2 linked regions of the Macaca mulatta genome follow. The protein of the gene in region 2 binds, or shares a complex with, the protein of the main gene of each other region. Links are inferred from orthologs where the notes say so. Each region holds a gene or a part of one and is shown on either strand. Other genes may lie near its edges. The genes, in order: SCARB2 and GBA1.

Region 1 (3,820 bases), on a different chromosome or scaffold from region 2:
TCATCCATGTTCTAGCATGTATGAGTGTTCCATTCCTTTTTATAACTGAGGAGTATTCCGTTGTGTCGATATACCACATTTTGCTTATCCATTTATCAGTTGATGGACATTTGGGTTGTGTTCCTTCTTGGCTATTATTAGAAGTGCTGCTATGAATATTTATTCATACAGGCTTTTGTATGAACATTGGGTATATACCTTGAAGTGGAATTCTCTTGAGTATATACATAGGTGTGGAATTTTGGAGTCCTGTGAATTCTGTTTAATTTTTTTAGGAACCGACAAACTCTTTTCTGCAGTGACGGCAACATTTTTATATTCCTGCTAGCAGTGTATAAAGGTTCCAATTTCTCCACATCCTCACCAACGCTTACTATTTTTTTTTTTTTTAATTGCCATCCTAGTGGGTGTGAAGTGGTATCTCATTGTGGTTTTGATTTGCAATTCCCTAATAACTAATGATGCTGAACATGTTTTTATGTGCTTTTTGGCCATTATTATATTTTCTTTTGGGAAATGTCTCTTCAAATCCTTTGCCCATTTTAAAATTGAGCTCCTACTTTTTAAAACCATAAAATAATAATATGGTTAATATAGTATTTAGCAAAATAGTCACTATTTTCTGGTCCTGGTTCAGTCTTGTGTAGCAGTTAGGCCCTAGTAGGACAGTTTCATGAAGATTAAATTTTTTAGTTACTGTATTAGTTAGGGTTGCCAGAGAAACTGAATCAAGAGGGTGTGTATATGGAGATGAGAAAGAGGGAGAGAAAGAAATTTATATTATGGAATTGGCTTATGTGATTATGGGAGCTGGTAAGTCTGAAATCCATAGGGCATGCCAGCAGCTGGAAACTCAGGTAAAAGTTGATGATGTGGTCTTGAGTTTGAAATCTGTAGGGCGGGCTGGAACCTGGAAATCCAGGCAGAATTTCACTGTTGCAGTCTTGGGGAGAATTCCTCCTCTAGGAAACCTCTGTTTTTGCTTGTAAGGCTTTGAACAGATTGGATGGGGCCCCGCCACTCATTGAGGGTAACTTCGCTTAAAGTTAACTGATTGTAGATACTAATCACACCTACAAAATACCTTCACCGCACCATCTGGGCTAGTGTTTGACCAAACAACTGAGCACCATAGGCTAGCCAAGTTGTCATCAAATTATCGCAGTTACTTTAAATGATCGTATTCACGTATTTTCAGAAAAATGGGACTAATGATGGAGACTATGTTTTTCTAACTGGAGAAGACAATTACCTTAACTTTACAAAGATTGTGGAATGGAATGGGAAAACGTAAGTCTAATGATTTATCAGTGGAGTTATTTTTTCAGTTTTCATTTAAACTACATATCTACTTCTACATTGTTTAAAAAATGTGTTTAAGCCTTTTTTGGATGAAAAATATAAAAACATGTAAACAGTCTTGTAATTATTATTCTACAAATCAAGGTGGTGGTAAAACATCTTACAGAGTAAATATTCGTGATTTGTAGATTTATCATGGCCAGGCATGAATTACAGGCCAGTGAAACTTCCCACTCTTGCTTAGTAGTCATTGAGTGATGTGTAGTAGCTACAGCACAAATACTTTTCAGACCACCACATGTTTTGGGCTATTTGGCCATTGCCTCTATGAAAACTGATTTGGGGCCAGGGACCTACTTTTTCTCCCCCTTGATCTAATTAACACTGTTGTGTCTGTGTATGGAGAAGACACTGTGTGTAGATAGCTCCAGTTAAATCTTGCAAAGTCCTGACTGTTTAAGAGAATCTAAACTCAAATGTGATCATCTTTACTCTTTCTTGCGCTTATCAATTATAGGTCACTTGACTGGTGGATAACAGACAAGTGCAATATGATTAATGGAACAGATGGAGATTCTTTTCACCCACTAATAACCAAAGATGAGGTCCTTTATGTCTTCCCATCTGATTTTTGCAGGTAAAAGCTTTAAAGATAAGTTCTTTTTTAAAAATAAGGTCTTTCACTGCAAGACCACTAAAAGCATGAGGAATATATGCAGACACACTTATTATGCATGGATATTTATGCTTAATCAGTGATACATGCTGATGGCACATCGAGACAGTATAGTGTACTGGTTCACAGCACAGACTCCTGACTGTTGGTTTGAATCTTAGCTGTACCACTTATAGCTGTGTGACCTTGGGCAAATTACTTAACCACTCTGTACCTCACTTTCCTCATTTGTAAAACAAAGATAGAAATTGTTAACTATGTTAGAAGTTATGAGGACAAATGAGTTAGTATTAGTAAAATACTTAGCCCAGGGCTTGTCACACAGTAACCAATATTAAGTGTTGGCTGTTAGTTACTATGATATGCTCTGTCAAGCTTAAATTGACCTGGCCTACTTCCAGTCAATAGGTTGTCTCTACATGGAAGCCAAATAGAGGATACTATTGTCCATATTTCAGGAGAGTGGTGTCCTCAGGGGAGACAGAGACGGAATGGAATCAAGAGCATTATGTAGATAGGTTTGGTTATATCCATAATATAATTTTTATTTGTCTAAGTGGCGGATACAAAGGTATTTGTTAGAATATTTTTTCTCTTTCTGGTGCCTAAAATATTTCATTAAAAAATGCTGTGGGGGTGGTTCGTGCAGTGAAACCACCTATGTTATTCATAACCTTGCGAGAGATGTATCAACAGCTCTGGTTCAGAGATGAAAAAGTGAGGCCCAGAAGGCTATTCCGGCCAGCCTTCACAGGAGGGCCTGAGGCTCACTGGTGACTGTACATCGAAGTGGTCTGTGAGGCACTATGCAGTGTAAGCAGTGGTCATATTACACGGGACCATGTTTGAAATCAGTAAGAATGAAAGGCAGAATTACGTTGAACTCCATTTAAATAAATGACTGGGGCAAAACATGGAATCTGATTTTTTTTTTTTTTTTTTTGGTGGGGGGAAGGAATGAATATCAAAGTGTATATTCTAATAAAATATCTGCTCAGTGTAACACTTTTCAAGTGCCCCTACAAGGCCACAGCCATCGCTGCCTGTTCTACCTTAGCTTTGGCTCTGCCATGCCCTGGTTTTCCTGGCTTTGCTGGTGACCCGTCCGCACTGGCATGTGTCCATGCAGGTCTAGAGGCCTCTTATTTTTTATGTGAGTCTCCATTCTAAATGTTATCATCTTAATTTTCTACCACATATTGTTTTTTCTTGTTTGGATAATACCTCCATTGCTACCACTTAAACACCTTTCACTACAATTCATCTTCTGCTTTATTACACGTTGAGCTGACAGAATGCCTTCCAAACATTCTTTTCTACTTACCCTATGAGCTTCTGGCCACGTTGTACCTGAGAACTGTTGCTAACTTGTGAATTTGGGGCAGATTACAATGACCAGAGTCCACATTCACTTTTTATTCTTACATCCTAACAGGTCAGTGTATATTACTTTCAGTGACTATGAGAGTGTACAGGGACTGCCTGCCTTTCGCTATAAAGTTCCTGCAGAAATATTAGCTAATACGTCAGACAATGCTGGCTTCTGTATACCTGAGGGAAACTGCCTGGGCTCAGGAGTTCTGAATGTCAGCATCTGCAAGAATGGTAAGAACTCAAGAGAGGGGGTATGATAGGGGTGTCAAGAATGCAGAAGGATTGGAGTTCAACAAAGAATATGTAGCTGGGCATAGTGGCGCACACCTACACTACCAGCTACTAAGGATGCTGAGGTGGGATGATCACTTGAGCCCAGGAGTTCTAAAGTCCATCCTGGACAACATAGTGAGACCCCTATCTCTAAAAAACAAAACAAACAGAAAAGAATATGTTGTCAGCCCAATA
Region 2 (3,820 bases):
AGCAGGGCATGGTGGTGGCCACCTGTAATCCCAGCTACTCAGGAGGCTGAAACAAGAGAATCGCTTGAACCTGGGAGGTAGAGGTTGGAATGAGCCAAGATCACACCACTGCACTCCAGCCCAGGCAACAGAGTAAGACTCTGTCTCAAAAGAAAAAAAAAAAAACAAAATCCTCACCCCGAAGTTGGTCTCAGTCACTCAAAAGGATTTATTGAGCACCTATTAAAAGTCTACCACCAGAGTACTGGAAGGCTACCAAAGGACTACGAGGCAGAAGGGAGCCTCTGTGCTACCTCGCTACCGCCTTGACTCACTTACCTGATGCCCATGACACTGCCTGAAGTAGAAGCAATCCTGTGAGGCTGGCGGCCATGATGCTTACCCTACCCGAAGGCTTGGGACATTCCTGAGGACAGAATGAGGAGTGGCTGAAAAGCAAGCCCCTCTCCTTCCCTCAACTACTCTCCTGGGCAGAGTTTAGCTGCCTTTGGCTGCCCATGGCCTAGTCTCCCACATTCATTAGGACAAGGCCCACAGACACCTGGGTGCAGCTCTCCCTGCAATCTTTCTGATGACAACTCTCTGCCCACCCCAAATCAGGACGCTCCCCACCACTCTTCCCACCCATTTCAACTTCGACCCCTCCCTCCATCTGTGCCTTGCTCAAAGAGCCATGATGGCCCTGGATTCAAAGAGAGTCTGTCATTCACTGAATTCCAGTGCCAGGATTCCAGAAGCACTGTGACAATGCTGATTGGGAGCTCTCTCTTACCTTTCTGGAAAACTCCATCACCTCAGGGTCATTGGATGAGGAGAAGACCACAGGGGTCCAGAGTCTCTGAAGGATAGAGGATCCACTAAACAAAAACAAGGATGCAGGTACCTGCCGTAGCTATAGGCACTAGGTTAGCCCTGCAAGTAATTCCGGCTTCCTGACATGGATGGGTCATGTGATGACTGGGAGAGTCACATGACACAGGAAGTGAGGCAATTGCAGGCATATTTCTAAAGGGCAATTGGCTTCCTCCCATGTGTTACAGATTATATGCGCTATAAAACTCTGGAGGGCATGTATGGGTGACAACTTTAGGAAGAGCCTAGAACACAGATTTGGGTGGAGAATGAGGTAGAGGCTTCTAAATCCCAGAGAATGGGAACTAAGGCAGGCACACTGCTTTTTTGATAGAAATGTCAGAAAAGGTACAAATAAAGCTGATATGATTTAAAAAAAAAAAAAAAAAAAAAAAAACTTCACTGTGCAAAATACTGACAATACCGAGATGTTTAAGACACAGTCTTTGCCCTATAGAGGCGTGTGAGGCATGGAAGTCAGACACACAGATATTTACAGATAAAGACAGAAACGGTAACAGGTGTGCATGGAGAGCTCTCTGAGATGAGGAGGGACCATTCGTGGGTGGGGAATTATCTAGGGTGGCTTCACAGAGGAAAAAGTGAGGGGGCTTATTAGCCGGTCAAGTGCAGGGTGCAAGGAGGGTGGGACACCGGCAGTGGGATGACAGGACTGGAGGGAAGGAGTGGTTAGTGTGGCTCCTCTGCAGCGTCCTTTGTTTCATCATCAGATGCAGATGGTAATAACCGTTCTTCCTTTCTCACAGGACAGGGAGGTTTGTAAGTAGTTCAGAAACCAGAAAGTGTTGTACAAAGCCGTATCCTCAGTGGACACAAGGAGGAAGTTGTCGTGCTGTGGCCTCACGAACCACATCAAATGAGATTTAGCGGGAGTGGCACACACAGTCATGACCTGACTAACCCCAGCTCTCAGTCTATTTCCTTGCCTGGAAAATGGAGGCAATGCCACCACCTCAAAGGGTGGTTACTGCAGTCAGTGAGGTAAGTGCAGTGCCTGACCACTTGGTAGGCACCTGGGAACTACTTGTCTGCTGTTTGTATTTTTTTGTTGTTGTTGTTTTTTGAGGCAGAGTCTCGCTCTGTTGCCCAGGCTGGAGTGCAGTGGCATGATCTCGGCTCACTGCAACCTCCACCTCCTGGGTTCGAGTGATTCTCCTGCCTCAGCCTCCCAAGTAGCTGGGATTACAGGTGCCTGCCACCACGCTCAGCTAATTTTTTTATTTTTAGTAGAGATGGGGTTTCACTATGTTGACCAGGCTCGAACTCTGAACCGCAGGTGATCTGCCTGCCCTGGTATTCGAAAGTGCTAGGATTACAGGCATGAGCCACCGTGCTGGACCCCAGCCATCTTTTTTGTTCTTTAAATGACCTCAGTGAAATCTTTCTAGATACACCCCAAGCAAAATTGATCATTTCTTCTTCTAGGTTCCTCCAGTAATTTTTCTTTTCTTTTTTTTGGTTTTGAGACCGAGTCTTGTCCTGTTGCCCAGGCTGGAGTGCAGTGTGATCTCGGCTCACTGCAACCTCCACCTCCCTGATTCAAGCAATTGCCCTGCCTCAGCCTCCTGAGTAGCTGGGATTACAGGATCCCACCACCATGCCCAGCTAATTTTTGTATTTTTAGTAGAGATGGGGTTTCATCATGTTGGCCAGGCAGGTCTCGAATTCCTGACCTCAGGTGATCCACCAGCCTCAGCCTCCTAAGGTGCTGGAATTACAGCATGAGCCACCACACCCGGTCCCTCCAGTAATTAAGTACAGTCTTAGTGAGATGGCAAGGTTGGAATCCTGGCTACACCATTTACTGGCTGTTTGACCTTCAATAAATCAAGCACTCTAAGCCTCTGTTTCATCTATGAAAGGGGAGTGATAATTCCTACCTTAGAGAATTGTTGTTAAGTTTGAGTGTGATAATGTGTCTCTAGTGCACTGCTTGACACTAAACATCGCAACATGTTAGGCCTGTGTTCCTGGAGTTCCTTGAAGGAATGTCTTACTCATTCTAAATATCCTTGTAGACAGCCTGGCACAGGTGTGGCTGTCAAGTTGTAGAATTGAATTAGTTGCTTCACTCTATCAGTATCCACCCCTTCCAGACTTCTCACTTTTCAAGGAAATGCTGAACAGGATTTGTTCTGGGTAGGGCAATATCTAGTACCTTACTTCCCTCACGTTCATTCATCTCACAGATATTTCCTGAGCACATTCTACATTTGCCTCTCCTGCTCTATTGAGTTTAGAAGTCCAACCATCTCCTTCCTCTTTCCCTCTGAATAGTGAGCCTCTTCTTTTTTGGCCAGGTACTGAGCAATTTTTTGTTTGTTTGTTCGAGACAGGGTCTCCATAGGTTGCCCTGGATGGAGTGTAGTGGCTCGATTTCGGCTCAGTGCAACCTCTGCCTCTCGGACTCAAGTAATCCTCCCACCTCAGCCTCCAGAAGAGCTGGGACTATAAGCGGACATCACCACACCTGGCTAATTTCTGTATTTTTTGTAGAGACAGGGTCTTGCTGTGTTGTGCAGGTTGGTCTCAAACTCCTAAACTCAAAGGATCCTCCTGCCTTGGCTTCGCAAAGTGCTGGGATTACAGGGTGAGGCACTGCGCCCAGTCCGCTTTTCTTTCTTTTTTTTTTTTTTTTTGAGATGCAGTATCTCTCTGTCACCCAGGCTGGAGTGCAGTGGCACAATCTCAGCTCAGTGCAACCTCCGCCTCCTGGGTTCAAGCAATTCTCCTGCCTCAGCCTCCCAAGTAGCTGGGACTACAGGCCCCCGTCACCACGCCCAGCTAATTTTTTCTATTTTCAGTAGAGATGGGGTGTCACTGTGTTAGCCAGTATGGTCTGGACCTCCTGATTTCGTGATCTGCTGGCCTCGGCCTCCAAAGTGCTGGGATTGGCGCCTGTAGTCCCAGCTACTCGGGAGACTGAGGCAGGAGAATGGCGTAAACC

The links.
Region 1: the proteins of GBA1 (region 2) and SCARB2 are in contact, whole or in part, in a cryo-EM structure (PDB 9FJF), measured with the Homo sapiens proteins. The link is inferred for Macaca mulatta from reciprocal best matches to the Homo sapiens genes GBA1 and SCARB2. Residues at the interface, in NP_000148.2 of Homo sapiens: Leu130, Asn131, Ala134, Ile169, Glu190, Lys194, Leu195, Pro430, Arg434, Ile445, Thr446, Asp448; in NP_005497.1 of Homo sapiens: Lys161, Ala162, Tyr163, Gln164, Lys181, Glu183, Leu187, Phe191, Arg192.

What each region holds. Positions count from the first base shown.
Region 1 is NC_133410.1:57,639,861-57,643,680, forward strand, and holds part of SCARB2 (lysosome membrane protein 2), read left to right. Parts: intron 1-1,198; coding exon 1,199-1,290; intron 1,291-1,819; coding exon 1,820-1,939; intron 1,940-3,413; coding exon 3,414-3,583; intron 3,584-3,820.
Region 2 is NC_133406.1:111,751,022-111,754,841, reverse strand, and holds part of GBA1 (lysosomal acid glucosylceramidase), read right to left. Parts: intron 2,714-3,820; exon of another isoform or gene 1,620-2,713; intron 1,374-1,619; exon of another isoform or gene 1,273-1,373; intron 960-1,272; exon of another isoform or gene 839-959; 5' UTR 791-838; coding exon 773-790; exon of another isoform or gene 772-772; intron 407-771; coding exon 319-406; intron 1-318. UniProt on the Homo sapiens protein: Glucosylceramidase that catalyzes, within the lysosomal compartment, the hydrolysis of glucosylceramides/GlcCers (such as beta-D-glucosyl-(1<->1')-N-acylsphing-4-enine) into free ceramides (such as N-acylsphing-4-enine) and glucose.